Linked DNA regions of Canis lupus familiaris. The protein of the gene in region 1 purifies or fractionates together with the protein of each later gene. This does not show direct contact. Links are inferred from orthologs where the notes say so. Each region holds a gene or a part of one and is shown in the gene's direction. Other genes may lie near its edges.

Region 1 (4,543 bases):
AAGGAGGTCAAATGAACAAAATTCACTTTCAGAAAATCCCTGTGAGGCAGAGAGAGAGAGAGAGAGTATACACAGTCTATTTTACAGATGGAGAAATGGAGGCAGAAAGTTGCACATCATGTGGTTCAGCCACATTTGACCCAGAACCCAGTGTCTTGGCCAGAGTTATCCTTTGAACCAAGGCAAGACGCTGCTGGGCCCTGGGCTTCAGAAGGCTTGGCTCTGGCCCTCCTCATAAGGGTGAGCACTCCCAGGGCCACAGAGCCATGCCACCGGAGTTAGGAGTACCCGACCAGGGACCCCAGAATTCCTTGCCCTGAGGCCCCTAAGTGCACTTTCAGAGCCTGCATGGGCCTCCTCACTGGATCTGTCCTGAGCACTGACAGAAGCACTGATGTGTGTACCTCTCTCTCCAAGTCGTGGTCCTGACTAGTGAGTACAGTGTGGTGGGGTGTGGAGGGGTGTGGAGGGGTGTGGAGGGGTGGGGGCTTGTACAGCTGAAGCCCACTGGAGTATAATGGAGCTGGGGGTGGGAAGACAAGGGGTTTGACACCCCCCCCTCCACCACATTCTTGTCAAAACTCAGGTCAGACCCTGAAGAGTCTTTATGTGAACCTGCCCTTCCAGGTTGCTTCAAAGACATCTTTGTCAAGGCAGGAGACCTTTATTTTACATTTTGTTGGCTGGCTGTATGATTTAAATATTTAGACAAGGTTTGTGGGCCTCCATTCGCACTTGGGCTTCTGTCCCTCAAATGTTATGGGCTGTGTGCTTCTGAGTGTCATGGCTAAGCCAGAGGAGGAAGCTGGAGAACTGGAATGGTTCTATAATTTCACAACCGTGATCCTCTAGCTGCACTTTGCAAATCTACAGAAGCCAAAACACGAGCTCTGTGTATTTATCACTGAGACTCCCACCAATATAATGAGCATAAAAAGGGGGACACTCATTCACATTGTTCCTTTTTTTTTTTTTTTTTTTTTTTTTTGTGGCCTCCCACCTCCCCCTCGTTTTGCAAAAAGAAGGAGCAAGAGGCTTTTCACTGGCCCTCGCAGGGACCTGGGAGGCCCAGGCTGGGAATCCCAAAGGCAATAAATAAGTCCCCTATTGAATACCAAAGTCAGGGTTTGTGGTGGAAAACAAAAACTGCTAATTATCCGGAGGACTGTCCGTCTTCCCCCACACCCTGGGCATTTGAAAGGAAAGGCTAAAGGGTTGGTGTCCGGAGGGGTTTCAGCCGCTCAATCCCTCCGACCGGGGGGAAGTAACAAAGGGGGGAAAACTGCTGAAAGCACGAGTTTGGAGGAAGCGGCTTCCACCCGTGCTATTGGCCCAAGGGAACGTGCAAGGAGACAGTCCCTGGCTCGGCCCCAAGCCCCGGGCTGCGCGCTCTCCCCGGGCAGGCGGGCTCGGGCGGGGCAGGGGGCTCCCGGGGCCCCCCGCGCCCCTGCCCCCCGCCCCGCGCCCCCCGCGCCCTGCCCGGAGCAGCGGGACGTCGCCCGTTTAAGGGGCGGGGCGCGGCTCCACGTGCTTTCTGCTGAGTGACTGAACTACATAAACAGAGGCCGGGGAGGGGGCGGGGAGGAGGGAGCGAGCGGGCTTTGACCGGTAGTAACCCCGGCGCCCGGCGCAGCCGAATCTATAAAAGGAACTAGTCGCGGCGAAACCCCGGTAATTCCGAGCGGGAGCGGGCGCGGCCGGCACCTCCGTCCCCGGGGCAGGTGGGACCGGCGCACCCACAGCCCGCTTCTCGGGGTGCTCTGCCCCTCGCCCCCCCCGTGTCCCCCCTTCTCCGGAAGGGTTTTCCAGGGGTGGGGGCAAAGACGCGCACAGAACAGTGGAAAGCAGGTAAGAGGCTCTCCAGCGACCCGGGCGTTAGGGATCTTGCTTACGGGCCGCCGAGGCTGGGGAGGCGCGGGGCTGGGGGCGGCAGCCCGAGCCCCCTGCAGCGGGTGGGGCGGGGGCGGCGTAGGTGGGGAGGGCGCCCGGGACCCGCGGGAGCTGCCGCGCTCGGGGCTCCGCCGGGAAGCATCCCTGGGCGCGGGCGCCGCGCGGCGGGGGCCCTGGTGGCACCGGGGCGCTGCTCCCCGAGAGCCGCACCGGCACCCCGCGCTCCCCTTCGTTGCGGAGAGCCCGAGCCGGCCGCGAACCCCTCGGGCCGGGGGGGGGCGGGGGGCGCAGCCTCGGGCCGTTCTTCCCGGGGCCGGCCTGGCCGGGCTCTGACCTGGGGCTCGCCCCGTGCGCCCCCGGACCGCCCGCAGCGCGCTTCCTGCGCCCCGAGAACTCGACCGGGCGCCGTCCCGAGCGGGCTCTGCCGGCGCTGCGGGCCACTTGGGGGGCCCCGGGGCGCCCGCCCCGCTGGGGTCGCGGTCCGTTCCTTTTAAAGACAAAAGACTTAGAAGAAGAGGCTGCGGAAACCTGGAGCTGAGGTGCGCGGCCCCCCGCCCCCCATCCTTCCTGCCCTTTGCCGCCTGGTCTCTTGGGGCAGCCTGAGGCCGGGCACGGGTGCGGAGGCCGCGGCGAGACGGTGCCGCGGAGTGACCGGGAGTAACCCCGGCGGGCGGCGCGGAACTCGGAGCTCCGCCGCGGGGCTGGGCGGGGGGAGGGGGGGCGGGGATGGAGGAGGAGGCGGGGGATGCAGGGGGGCGGGGATGCAAGGAGGGAGGGGGATGCAAGGAGGGAGGGGATGCAGGGGGGCGGGGGGTGCGGGGGATGCGGGGGGAGTGGGGGATGCAAGGAGGGAGGGGGATGCTAGGGGGAGTGGGGGATGCAGGGGGGCGGGGGATGCGGGGGGGGATGCAAGGAGGGAGGGGGATGCAGGGGGGGCGGGGGATGCAGGGGGGCCGGGTTCGGGCTGCCGGTGGCTTCGGGGAACCGGTCCGCAGCGCCTCCTGGCCGGAGGGCCTGGGAATCGACCCTGTGGCCGGAGGGGGGGCCCGGGCTCCGGGAGGGGCTGTCGCTCTGGGGTTCCGACTGAGATCCGGTGGAGACGGGTGGCTGGAGACGGGGAGGAAGCCCGGGCGAGGAGGCCGTCCGGTGGTTCCTTATCAGGATGCTTCGATTCCCAGATCCATGTTACAGGAGAAGGGTCCTGGCGCGGGCCAGAGCCGAGGCTGTGTGTAGTGGCTTTACCAGCACTTATCTTATAGAAGGATATGAACAAGATGCATGTGTGAGAGACAGAGAGAGAGAGTGAGAGAGAGAGAGAAGCCTCTGGCCCTGGAAGCAGTTGGCCCCTATCTTTTGCAGCATTGATACCGTCAGCTTTTAAAACCCCAAACTATTATTCAGTGACACCTCGCACAGAGAGTGGGTGGTATATATACATCCATGTAAGAGGACATATTTGATATTATGAAACATTTCCTTGGTGATGAAAATCAGCAAGTCACTTTTTAAGGGCCCCAGCCCCCCTCCCCCCCCAACCAAGAACACCTTACAAAATTTTCCAAGTTCAAAAGCAGTTTTACTGTTTTGTTTGTTTGTTTGTTTGTTTGTTTGTTGTTTTTAAACAATCGTTTGGGACCCAACCTAGGTTTTGAACTTCTTTTCAGACAGAACTTAAATCCTAACTTTAAAAAAGGGCTTCCTTTCTCATCTTGCCTTTTATTTCAGCCCATTTTTCTCATACCTGCCACAAAAATAATGGAGGTTTCCTGTTGTTTGAATCATTCCCTTGAGACACTTCTCCTAAACCAAAGTGTGAAAGCACGGAGAATGTTCTGGAGTAGGACCTCTTCAGATAATAAAATAATTTTCAGGTGCAGAGTGTTCATTGTCAGCCTGTTCCCCAAATGCTCCTATACAGCAAATAATTCATGACAGTTTAAAGAAATTTTGGATACGCAGAGCAAATTGGTATCTACTTGAAAAACAAAAAATAAAAAACCCCAACAGTAGTAGAATCAGATTGGCCAGGCTTAATGATTTAAGGGATGAGAATTGCTGTTCTAGCCAGAGTAATTCCCTTGCAAGGACAAGCCTCATGTTCCACAATGACATATCTGATTGTGAAGGGGCCACCTGTGATATGTGTGTCTCCTCCTCATGAGCATCTGAAATCTCAACCTTCATAAATATTTCAATCTACATCTAAATGGAGGCCTGTAATGGACACATTTTTTTTTTTTTTTTTTTTTTTTTTTTTTTACTTACGGCATATTTACAGTTCATATGAGACAATGGTCAGTCTAGGGTTCAAAAAGGGTGGTTAGGGCTTGGTTGTTTTCAACCTCTGCTCTTGGAAGTCTCAATGCTAACATTATTAAAAATGAATGAGACTCAGCAACACAGCTTTTTATTACCCTCTGTAGTATTTCCCTTATATGGAGAGAAGTTGAAATATTTTTCCATCAATTTTTTAGGGATCAATTCTCCCATAAACCAAGTGACTTAGGCTATGTTCATAGTGATTGAGAATTGTTAATATTTTTGCTATTTCAATTTCTAGCTCCTAAAGTAATAGTAGACATTACCTTAGATGCTTTAATTATGAACATTTTGGGTATCTAGAAATTACCAGTAGACATGTGGTTTTGTACTT
Region 2 (4,586 bases), on another chromosome or scaffold:
AGTCTGGGGTAGCTGGTTTCTTATAGGAGATGCGATGTACATCTTTCCCTTTGGGGGCTTGTAATTGAGGATTCTTTCTCGTTGAGATTCTTCTGCTGGGGTCTGTCTGTAATTGACAGTCCTTCCTGTGATTGACACAGGAGTGATAACCCAGGAGAGCTCCCCCTGCTGGTCTGCCCCTTTCAATTTACTGAGGTCTCCCTTTATGAATTTTCACCCTGGATGCTTAGGTGCGCCAGGCACTGCCCCTCCTGAATCTTCACACCTTTCTTAAGAAATAGGAATAACTTCCCCTATTTTACAGATCCGTCAACTGAGACTGAGGGTGATATGCCTTGCCCCAAACTGCTGTAATTCATTTTCAGTCTCTTTCAGCCTTTTGCACTATTCTAGGGAAGTTAAAAACAACCTGAGCATCCCCAAGAATAAACACAGTTCTCACATATTAGGCTCTCCTTATTTGAACCTGACCTGACTCATTCTTTTTACCTTATTTAGTTGTAATGACAACCCAACTAACTCTTATTGGGCCCAATTTATTTTTTTTTAGATTGTATTTATCTATTCATGAGAGACCGAGAAAGAGGCAGAGACACAGGCAAAGGGAGAAGCAGGCTTCCTGCGGGGAACCTGATGCGGTCTCAATCCCAGGACCCTAGGATCACGACCTGAGCCAAAGGCAGGTGCTCAACTACTGAGCCACCCAGCCTCCTCGTTGGACCCAGTTTAGGAAAGGAAACTGAGGCACAGGCAGGGTCAATAGCCTGGCTCAACATAACACAACTAGGAAGTGACAGAGACACGAGTTCAGCCATTCTCTCCACTCTATGTCCATGTAATCACCCCTTTTAGTGGTAACATCCTCCGATTCCATAGCTTCAAGGTCATGTCGGAATGGACAAAACAAATTATAAAAGAGCATGACTCATACGTTGCAATAAAAAACGGATATATGCTCAATATAGATCTGATTATCATCCAGGGAAGACCAGAACAGTTCCCTTTTTCTACCTATTCAAGTACTGTGAGTTATCTTTAAAAGCTATTATTTGTATCACTTTGGTTATGAGGTTATGCTTTTTTTAAATCTTCATATCAACAAGTTCTTTTATATATATATATATATAAAGATTTTATTTATTTATTCATGAGAGACACACGGGGGGGGGGGGGCAGAAACACAGGCAGAGTAAGACGCAGGCTCCATGCAGGGAGCCCGATATGGGACTCGATCCCAGGACTCTAGGATCATGCCCTGGGCCAAAGGCAGGCACCAAACCGCTGAGCCACCCAGGGAGCCCTCAACAAGTTCTTTTTTTAATAGATTTTTCCTGGGTCTAGGTTTGCAATTCAATTTATTTCAAACCAATAAGCAACGTGCCTCTAAAACCAGAAAACTTGTTAATCAAACAAGGACAAACATGCTTCAAATCAACGTGTGCGACAAGGAGCAGAAGGTCGGGAGCTTTGTGACCAGTAAACCCCCAAGCTACGAGCCCAGAGAGGAACAGGGCTGGAGCAAAAGCAGCCCAGCTCCCACTCGGAAGGTTTGAGACAGGCCACGCCCCCTCCCGCACTACATTCGGGAACTGGTCCGGAACTCTCCTGCCAGGCCTCGGTGGAAATACTCCGGACGGTAAGCTTCCGGTGAGAATACGACTTCCGTGCGGGGCAGCCGATTTGGCTAGTTAAGCGGACCGGAAGTCCGTCACTCCTGACTGCCCGCCCCCTTCCTAAAGTGACGCACGGCGGGGTTGCCGGAAGAAGTGGCGAAGTTACTTTTGAGGGGATCCGAGAAGCGGCGGCGTGCCAGGGGATACAGAGAAGGAGGAGGAAAAGCAGAGCAAGGGGACAGAGGCAGGTGCACTAGAGTGTGGGGAGACTCGGGAGGCGTCCTGGGCCCGGGGCTTCCCGGCGTTCCCCGCGCTGCTCCGCTCAGCCTCCTTCTCTCCTTCCCCCCCCTCCCTTCCGTAGCTCGCGCTGTCTCCGGTTGTTTCCAGGGCAACGGGAGTAGGAGACCCCGCGAGAGGCCGCCCACAAGACCCTCGCGCGCAGCCATGAGCCCCGCCCCCCACTGGTGTTCGGAGAGGGGCGGGACCTGGAGCGAGGTGTGGGGGCGGAGCGTGAAGGGAGGGGTGAGGCGTGGCCTGACGGGAGGTGGGGCGGGGCCTGCAGGGAGGGGCACCGGCGGGGCGGGGCAAGGGGAGGGGCGGGGCGTGATGGCTGGAGTGAGGGTGGGACCTGGTAGGCTTGGGCGGGACCTAGATGGAAAAGTGGGGGTGGGGCAAGGGGAGGTGGTGGGGTCAGGGTGGGAGTTGGGGATGCTATTTCCGCGGAGGTGGGGAGTTCTTACTCGTAGGTAGGGTGAAACTGGGTGGGATGGAGGAAGTGAGGGCGGAGCACGATGGAAGCAGAAAGGGCAGTACCTGCAGGAACGGAGTGGGCGGAGCCTACGGGAGGGGCGGAGTCTAGGTGAGGGCAGGGCTGAGAGCCTGTGGAGGCCTGGAGCGGTCGGGGGCGGGCTCTGTCCCAACCTGAGGAGAGGTCCCAGAGGCAGGCAGGGGCTAGGCGGGGGTCTCTGCAGTAAAGGAGGAGCCTGGAAAAATGGAAGAAACAGGTGCCCGCATCAGGACTTGGGGCTGGCCTAACCTGAGCCTCCCTGGCCCCACAAGGCTCTCGGTCCCCCCGTATTCTGCAGGTTTCTCCGTGACTCCACCATGTCCACCCCCACCACCAGTTCTCTGGACACGCCCTTGCCTGGTGAGTGAGCTCCTTCCCGGCCCAGCCCCGACCCCCGTGGCACACTTGTCAGGAGAAACTCACTGTGCTTACCTCTCCCAGGAAATGGCCCGCCTCAAGCCAGCGCCCCATCTTCTTCACCAGCGATAAAGGAGGAGGGTCCTGAACTGTGGCCTTCGGGTCCAGATCCTGATGTCCCAGGCAGCGATTGGGCCCGCTCCGCTTGCAGCGGGGGTGAGATGGGGGCCAAGGACAGGGGCTGGGACAGGGTTGGGGAAGGATCCAGAAAGGGAGAAAGATCAGAAATGAGGATGGGAGGCTCCCAATTTCTCGTTAATTTTTTCTTCCATGCTTACTTGTCACTTTTTTTTTCTTTTTTTGCCCGTGAGCATATTTTTTTCCTACTTGATGCCACTTGTCATTTGTTCTTTGGGGTTCACTGATATGCACGCTTTTGTTTCTGAGACACCATTTCCCTGGGTCACTGTCTGTATCCTGGCTTTTTGCTTCTCTCTTGTGGGGATGATCCTTGGGCTGCAATTTCCTTCCGAGGCCCTGTGTCTCAGGGTTCCTGACCACCCACCCCAGTCGTTCCAGACCCTGCTGAGGAACCTGAGCGCAAGCGAAAGAAAGGCCCAGCCCCAAAGATGCTGGGCCATGAGCTGTGCCGTGTGTGCGGGGACAAGGCTTCTGGCTTCCACTACAACGTGCTCAGCTGCGAAGGCTGCAAGGGTTTCTTCCGGCGCAGTGTGGTCCGAGGCGGGGCCAGGCGCTACGCCTGCCGGGGTGGCGGGACCTGCCAGATGGACGCCTTCATGCGGCGCAAGTGCCAGCAGTGCCGGCTGCGCAAGTGCAAGGAGGCCGGGATGAGGGAGCAGTGTGAGTGCTGGGGGGAGAGCCGGCCGGACCCCTGCCCAGCCCTGGGGCCTCTGCTGAGGCCTCTGTCTCCCGAACAGGCGTCCTCTCGGAGGAACAGATCCGAAAGAAGAAGATTCGGAAGCAGCAACAGCAGCAGCAGCAACAGTCACCAGTAGGGCCAATGGGCAGCAGCACAGCTTGTGGACCTGGGGCCTCCCCTGGAGGGTCTGACGGAGGCGGCCAGGGCTCTGGGGAAGGCGAGGGTATTCAGTTAACAGCTGCTCAGGAACTAATGATCCAACAGTTGGTGGCAGCTCAACTGCAGTGCAACAAACGCTCCTTCTCTGACCAGCCCAAAGTCACGGTACCTCCCCTCCCACAGCCTTGAGGGATGATGAGCATGGTGGGGTTGAGCCAGTAAGGCTGTAGCCAAGGGCATGGGGAGGTAACAAGCCTTCAGAGGGCAGGGCCTTGGAGAGGAGGGTCTCCTAGGGTACAGTCTTTGCCTCAAGGTGTCCCTGCAGCCTTGGGCTTGAGGGAGAAGTCCTGAGAATAACCCTGGCCCCTGTTTCCCCAGCCCTGGCCTCTGGGTGCAGACCCCCAGTCCCGCGATGCCCGCCAGCAGCGTTTTGCCCACTTCACGGAACTAGCCATCATCTCAGTCCAGGAGATTGTGGATTTCGCCAAACAAGTGCCTGGCTTCCTGCAGCTGGGCCGCGAGGACCAGATCGCCCTCCTGAAGGCGTCTACCATTGAGGTAATGGGCAGTCTGCCCATCCTCTACAAGGCCCTTCCTTCCTGCCCATGAGGAGCTCCAGGGATAAGCCTCAGGAAAGCTGTTGGGAGTATAGTGATGAGTCATATACCTCCAGTTGTTGCCCTTGTGGAGAGGATACCCTACAGGGGAAGGCCAAAATACTAAACAGATAATCAGAGCCTCCCATGAGCCAAAGAGAACAAGGAAAGGGGCCGGGGCTGGGAAAAATCGA

The links.
Region 2: the proteins of ABCA1 (region 1) and NR1H2 purify together in Homo sapiens (affinity purification with western blotting; 3 studies listed by BioGRID and IntAct, with this or other methods). This does not show direct contact. The link is inferred for Canis lupus familiaris from reciprocal best matches to the Homo sapiens genes ABCA1 and NR1H2.

Annotation. Positions count from the first base shown.
Region 1 is NC_049232.1:61,251,169-61,255,711, reverse strand, and holds the start of ABCA1 (phospholipid-transporting ATPase ABCA1), read left to right. Parts: upstream 1-1,658; 5' UTR 1,659-1,848; intron 1,849-4,543. UniProt on the Homo sapiens protein: Catalyzes the translocation of specific phospholipids from the cytoplasmic to the extracellular/lumenal leaflet of membrane coupled to the hydrolysis of ATP.
Region 2 is NC_049222.1:107,001,661-107,006,246, reverse strand, and holds the start of NR1H2 (oxysterols receptor LXR-beta), read left to right. Parts: upstream 1-1,700; 5' UTR 1,701-1,861; intron 1,862-1,974; 5' UTR 1,975-2,135; intron 2,136-2,698; 5' UTR 2,699-2,717; coding exon 2,718-2,760; intron 2,761-2,841; coding exon 2,842-2,973; intron 2,974-3,327; coding exon 3,328-3,618; intron 3,619-3,695; coding exon 3,696-3,961; intron 3,962-4,174; coding exon 4,175-4,354; intron 4,355-4,586. UniProt on the Homo sapiens protein: Nuclear receptor that exhibits a ligand-dependent transcriptional activation activity. Binds preferentially to double-stranded oligonucleotide direct repeats having the consensus half-site sequence 5'-AGGTCA-3' and 4-nt spacing (DR-4).